2 linked regions of the Coturnix japonica genome follow. The protein of the gene in region 2 interacts with the protein of the main gene of each other region in a pairwise test. Links are inferred from orthologs where the notes say so. Each region holds a gene or a part of one and is shown on either strand. Other genes may lie near its edges.

The links.
Region 1: the proteins of ANKRD13A (region 2) and QDPR interact in a two-hybrid assay, tested with the Homo sapiens proteins (2 studies listed by BioGRID). The two-hybrid records come from large-scale screens. The link is inferred for Coturnix japonica from reciprocal best matches to the Homo sapiens genes ANKRD13A and QDPR.

What each region holds. Positions count from the first base shown.
Region 1 is NC_029519.1:68,886,374-68,889,098, forward strand, and holds part of QDPR (dihydropteridine reductase), read left to right. Parts: intron 1-1,491; coding exon 1,492-1,600; intron 1,601-2,725. UniProt on the Homo sapiens protein: Catalyzes the conversion of quinonoid dihydrobiopterin into tetrahydrobiopterin.
Region 2 is NC_029530.1:6,004,496-6,008,847, reverse strand, and holds the start of ANKRD13A (ankyrin repeat domain-containing protein 13A), read right to left. Parts: upstream 3,050-4,352; 5' UTR 3,035-3,049; coding exon 2,883-3,034; intron 2,254-2,882; exon of another isoform or gene 2,245-2,253; coding exon of another isoform or gene 2,225-2,244; coding exon 2,146-2,224; intron 98-2,145; coding exon 1-97. Other genes in the region: ARF GTPase-activating protein GIT2, read left to right, coding at 3,449-3,500. UniProt on the Homo sapiens protein: Ubiquitin-binding protein that specifically recognizes and binds 'Lys-63'-linked ubiquitin. Does not bind 'Lys-48'-linked ubiquitin.

The sequences.
Region 1 (2,725 bases), on a different chromosome or scaffold from region 2:
TTGCTGGCTTGTTATTTTCAGCCATTAAGGAAGGAATCCTCTTTTTCTTGTTTGATCTTCCTGTGATTTTTGTTCCTCTATGTGAAAATGTTGACTCATTCAATGCAAATTGAAGAAAACTGAAAATAATACAATAGCTACAGTAAGTAGTTCAACAGCAATGGCTAAGAAACATAGAAAAGGCTTAAGAAGGCTTAGTATCTGGTTTACAGAAGAGGGGAATATGATAGAAGTGTGAATATTTTATCATAAAATAAAAGGAGGTAGCTAATGCTGACGGTGATCCCTCCTAATAACTGTGGATATTATACGGTTTATCTAATTGAATGTAACAGAAACATTTATGTAATGCAAAATTACCTTTATACCTTCACTGCAGAATACTTCCTTGGGTACTTTGAAAAGGAGTTGTACAGAGAGGTAGAAAGTCATCCAGTTGTAGTAGACAAAATACATTTAGAATCATAGAATTACCCAGGTTGGAAAAGACCTTGAAGATCAACCAAAGTCCAACTGCAAGCCTAACCATAGTACCCGAACTCCCTAACAACCCTCTGCTAAATCATATCCCTGAGCACCACATACAAATGGCTCTTAAACACTCCAGGGACGGCGATCCGCCACCATCCCTGGGGAGCCTATTCCAGTGTTTAACTTCCCTTTCTGTAAATAATTGTTTCCTAACATCCAACCTAAACTTACCTTGGCACAACTTGAGGCCATTTATCTTTTTTCCTATGTGCTTAACCATTGTCTGTGCTGCTTGGCAGATGTGTACCATGAGACAGCGCTGAGACCTGTCAGCAACCTTGATTGTCCAGCTCTTGTACTTGAGCAGTATGTTGCATGCTCTCATTCCCATACATCTTACGCTGCTGAGTACTGTCTGTCTGAAAAGCAGCTGTGCTCCCGAAGATGCTGGATTTACATGCAGGTTGTTTAGTCACTTTCTGCCCGGGCTGGGTTTTCTATTTGATAGTTTTTTTTGTAGCTTCCTCCAGAGGGCCTGTCAGAATTAGGATGCTGCTGCAGTGAGTTACTGTACTGGAGAGAAATGTGGGTGCTCAAGTCCAAACCTGTGAATACTTCAGACTTATGTTCAAAGTTAACAGGTGATTACTTGATTAAAGTCACTGAGTCTCTTCACACTTAAAAAAACAAAACCATTGAGGTTAACTCCCTTGGTCCTTCAGGGTGTGTTCTGAAGTGTTAAATAAACATGTAGAAAGCAGTAAGTTTGTCAGTTCTGTAACGCTCAAAGCTTTTCCGTTGTTCCTGTTTGTCTATTAGAAGGCTTTTGTTTGGGTTTGTTTTTCCTTGTAAATTCAAATTTAATTTTTTTTCTTGAATAGTATTTCTGTATGTTTTAAATCTGTTTCTGTGCTTGCTGTGGTAAGTGATACAAAACTTATTATTAATTAAAGTAACGTGTTTGTGTCATATTACCAATATTGAGAACTGTGCTTTAGTTTGCCTGTTTTTTGTTGCTAGGGATGGTTGGCTATGGCATGGCTAAAGGAGCAGTGCACCAGCTGTGTCGGAGTTTGGCTGGTGCCAATAGCGGGTTGCCATCTGGCTCTGCTGCTGTTGCTATTTTACCGTAAGTGCTTGAATACTTACCTTTGCCTGCACTGTTTTGTTACTGCTGCAACCTAGAATTGCACTGGTGTGGTTGTGATGTCCTGTTCACGCTTCTCAAGTAACTTAGATTGTGAAAAGGAGTGTCTTGAACATATGAAAGTGGCAGTGGGCAAGTTGTCCTAACAGTGGATAAGTTTTTTTTCACTTGCTGTGCAAAACAGTAGTGGGTGTTAGGGTTAAAAGTTGATTCAGCTTTAAACGTTCTGACAGTAGCCGACTACTAATGTCACCTTTTCAGTACGGTCAGAAGGTAAGAAGGACTTTTCAGCACAATTTTAGACTTAGTTGTGTGATTATAGCAAAGAAAGGATTACTGGACAAGTCTTTGCTTAGAAAATCTTCATATCTTCATCCACAGAAGCAGCTGGGGTTGATCAGTAAAAATTAGTCACCTTGAGGTTCTGTAGGAAAACGAAATCTAGCTTGTATTTGCCTGTCAGAGCCATCTTTTTGATGCTTTGAGAAAAGTTAGTGTAAAATGAGCAAACTGGTAGGTCTTTGCTATATCAAAGTCCATTGGTATTGCTGCAAGAGTTATTGATCTTACCAGGTCCATACCTGGAGCCAAAACTTAAAATTTTAAACAGTTCTCTATGGGTATTTGGGATGTTGCCCAAAATCTAACTGCATGTTTTCCTCACACACATGCTGTTATGCACACTCCTTCAGGTCAGAAAACAGCACTGAGAGTGTTGGATCACTAACACAGTGTCCTACAGAGCTTTGCAGACAGGCAGACACCAAGAATGCTTTTGTACTTTTGGCCATTCTGGATTTGTGCAGGTCTCAGGAGTTCTTCAGAGTAATTATATACTGTATTGTCAACAGTAAAGCAGTAAGACAGTTCTGAAAACTTCAGCCTTTAATATTATCAAAGTCCAAACATACTGGGCCTGCACACTTGAGCAAGCTATAAGTGCACATGTAGAGGGCAGTAGTAGTAGGGCATGTGCTATGTGATACATACAGGCAAGAATATTAATGCTACAGCCTGTCTGCATGAGAGAGGCTGGGAGGGAGCTGTGTGCTGGGTGATAGGCCTGGTGGGTTGGATGTCATCAGCAAGGCAGGGAGCTAAGGGCTT
Region 2 (4,352 bases):
CCTTGTGCTGAAGAAGGACTTTGGCAGATTCTACGTAACCCAAGGAAACAGCAAGATGCAGCAAGGTCCGGCCCCGGGGATCACGTTGTTCAACATCCTGTTGAGTATCCAAGAGATAAGTAATGCTGACGTTGCTCTAGCAAACGCAATTAACCACAATGCACTGACAGGAGTTCACATAAAGCTTGTTGGAAATAACCTAGGAGCCAACGTTCCCTATGTATGCCCACACATCTCATGCTACGTACTCACTCTGGTTGCAAACACTGCTGTGCTGCCCTTCTGCCCTCAGTACACTGAGATCTCACTTCCCCACCGAAATAAAAAGAGAAGCAGGACAGTGCCTACAAACTGGCATCACTGTAAAACACAACTGAGCTCTCAGTGATGCTTCTCATTTCTCTTCCTGTAATTATTTCCCCCTTTTGAAGCAGTCCCTCTTAGGAAAAGACAGTTCTGTGTGCACTGAAACACGCACAGTTAACAGCTTGAGAGAGATCACCAGGAGGATTTAATGTACAGCATAACAGGAAGGGGAAAAAGAGGGGAAAAGAAACAAAACGACCCAACAGGCGATACAACACCGATCTTGTGTAGCACTTTTTGAGAGCATAGAAGCAAATGGTAAGTGACAAGGCATTCATTTTTACTGACACACAGCACAATGAAGAGCGAATGCATTTTGTACGAGTCACTAAAAATAAGAGACCACACAAGCATAAAGATCCAAAACATGCAAGCACAACATACTCATACCTTACATATCTTTCACTATTAGCTTAGAGATTTGAAACAGAAGAGCATCTATAACTAAAGGAAAAGGGGAAAGTCAATAGCAGAACAGGTAAGTTATTATGCAAGTTAACGCAGTTATCTGACAGCATCAAGTTTGAAAGATCACACACAATGGGGGAAGCTTCATTTTAAAGCATTCTTTACACACTTCTGTTCTGGAATACCAATGCATTTGCTTCCCCACTTCCTAAAACTCCAATGCTAATTGCACTAATGTAGGAAGGACCTCTGCTAACCAGTAAACCCCTATTCCACTCCTCCTTGCCATACCCAGTGCAGCTGGCATTGATTCCTTCACGTGCCCCTCTGCCAGCAAGAAGCTTATCCTGAGGAAGCAGGAGGAAACAGATCTTTGGAATACTTTAAAGGGGAAAAATAATATTGAAAGGCAGAGAAATATGAGATGGAAGTGTCCCATCTCAACACGCTGCTCATTGCCTCACATTGAAGAGTACTTGAGTCTGGGAGGAGCACTCACAGGTGTGGATGCTCACTTAGCCTCAGTCTCACAAGGACAAGCAGCACAAGGATCCTTATTTGATTACAAATGTTCACACATCAAAACGTTACTGCAATAGAAATAAACTGAAACAACGTGACAGCAACGTTAAGGATTAAAATAAAGCAAATCAGATGAAAACTAACTGCATTCCAAAGATTCTCCTTCAAAAACCAGGGGAGGTGCATGCTCTCAGCAAGCATTAGTAAGTCGTGGAGCACTGTTAGAACTGCAGATGGCAATCACCAGTCAGGGGGGTGACACAGCCCAACTTGGGATAGTGTCCTTGTGGTGCCAGGCAGAATGCAATGGATGTGTTCTGCTTCCAAACGATTCTCCCCTCACCCCAGTGTGCACCTGAGCCTTCACAGGGTGCCTCAGCACAAAGGATGCTTAAAGCCTGAGCTCTGCTGCAGCATTTCACACTGTTCTTCCCTTACGTCATTACTATTTCTCTCTCTGCCACCCCAAAGAGAGAACAGCTTTGTATTTTTCTACTCTACAGCATGAAACAATGAGTCTATTTAATATTTTTTTTTTAAACAGAGATGCTGAGAATACTCCAGCCAGTATAAAACTGCTGCCTCTAAGCACTGCTGGTCAGCAGCAAGCTGCATCCTGCCCTCATCTCTAGCAGCAGCAGCGCTGCACTCTGATTTTCCATTAAAGCAAGCTCTGTTTGCTGCTTCTTTTTGCTCAGATAAACAGTGAAAGTCCATCACATCCCTATACCTTCTTACCTCACTCTCAAACCCACAAACAGACAGGTGCAGAAGGAAAACAGTCCCACCAGCCTGGCACAGACCCGGGGCACAGCCAAGGCTCTCTCTGCCCAGGAAGGCAGCAGTTACCTGTTCTTGCAGCTCTTCATCCAACCGCTGGTAATCATTATTCCAAACCAGGACATGCAGGGGGTACGCAGCGCTGGCCCTGCCGGGGGAACTCATCATGCCACGCACCTGCAGGAGCAGGGGAAGCAGGCAGCCTGCCCTCACCACCCCCTGCTTTGTTTAGGGGCACCCCATGCAAAATCCCACACCCTGGGGGGGGGGGCTGCTCCTACTGACCCCCTCAGACCTCTATCCCCCCCCCCCCCCCCCCCCCCCCCCCCCCCCCCCCCCCCCCCCCCCCCCCCCCAAACCACCATCCCTATGGCCTCCCTCAAGTCTCTGCTCCCCTTTAATCCCCTTTAGGCTTCAGCTTCTGCCCCCCACCCCTCATCCCTATGGCCATCCCCTCTCTCAGACCCACATACCTATAGCTCTCCTTGAATCCCCCACTCCTGCCCCCCCCCGTTTCCTCAGGCCCTTGTTTTTGGAGTCCCCTTTATTCTCCTATATCTGGGGTCCCTTTTACACCTCAGCTTCTGCCTTCCCCCCCCTCTTTCTTCCCCCTTCCCCCCCAGGTCCCTCAGCCTTAGGGCTCTGCTCCCACCCCCCTCTGTCCCCATTCCTGGTGCCCTCCCTAAGACCCTCACTCCTATTCCCCACCCTTATCCCTCAGTCTCCAGCTCCCAGTGCCCTGCTCCCCCCATCCTTAGGCCCCACCTCACACCCCAGCCCCTTTCCCACCCAAGCCGTCTCCTCACCCCCGTCCCTTGGCCCCTTCCTTTCCCTCCAGGGCAGCGGTAGGGCCGTCCCACAGCACGGCAGCTGCGTTCAATAGGGCCCCGTTCTCTCCCCGCTGCAGCCCACAGACCCTCACACAAGCGGAAGTCTCAATTCCCCGCTCTCCCCCCATTTATATACAGGGCGTCCTGCCCGCCGGCTCCTCCATCGCTTTACCTCTCAAGGGGGGGAACCTCTGAGCCGTAACACTGACGAGCCGCCCTGTTCTCACCATCCCCCCCCGCCTCTGGGCAGCGTTGGTTTCGCCCGCATGCTCTACCGCGGAAATACGGAAGACACGCAGCCATTGCGAGTGAGGGCAGTGTCTCTATTCGCCATTTTAAGTTAGGGCGATACGACGGCTACGGCAGCGCAGCTCCGCCTGGCTTCTCACGTTAGCGTAAAATGCTTCGTGAATAGCGAGCGGCGGCGTAGCGTGCGGTGCTGACGTACGCATGCGCACTACGCGCTCGGCTCGGCCGCCCGGCGGGGGCTGAGGCGGCCCCTTGAGCGCGGCAGGAAGCGGCCGGTCCCGATCCGAACAGCGATGTCGAAGCGGCTGAGGAGCAGCGAGGTGTGTGCGGACTGCAGTGCGCAGGGTAAGGCCGGAGGAACCGAGGGGAGAAGGGGGATAAAGGGGAAAGACGAGAGGAGGGGGCGGCAGGGCCCGTCCGCATCCCCACCCCCCTGCACTGAGGAGAGGAGGGCAGGTGCCGCTGTGTGGATGGGCGCTGTGCTGACAGGGGGTGTGGGGAATAAAGGTATAAAATGAGGGTCTAAAGTCCCTATTTCTGCTTATTTATAGTGCTGGTGTTCCTGTGTTAGAGACTGGTTTTTGTTTTGGGTGAACAAACCCAACTCCCTCAGCCTGTCCTCATAGGGGAGGTGCTCCAGCCCCCTGATCATCTTCCTGACCCTCCTCTGGACCCTTAACAAAATCTCCATGTCATTTTTGTACTGAGGGCTCTACACCTGGACACAGTACAACAGGGCAGCCAGCACACAGCAGGGTCACAGCTCTGTGTGTTGTTGGGTGCTGCATGACAGCGTCAGATCTGATGCTCATAGAGAAGCCTGCTGGTTTAGCCATGTGTGTAACAAAAGCTTAGTCCTTTCTTCACAAAACAACCCAAAAACCTGAACAAACCCCTTCTTTGATTGAAAGCAGAGTTTGTAGGGCTGGTAGGATCTTCTTCATTTGAGCCAGGTTGTCTTCTGGGGTTTCCCCCAACTTCTCTTTGCTTCTTTAGGACCACAAGTGGTCGTGCTGTGCTCAAGGAGAGTTTGACATGCTCTTTTCTGTTACACTTCCTATGCTGCTGGGGCAGGAGCTCACTTCTCGTACCCGCAGAGCACGCCTGTCCTTGCACGCTTCCTGTTTTGAAGCGCTCTGCCATGTTCCTGAAAGCAAACTTGAGAGATCTTTTGAGTATTTCTTGTGTTCCGCCATC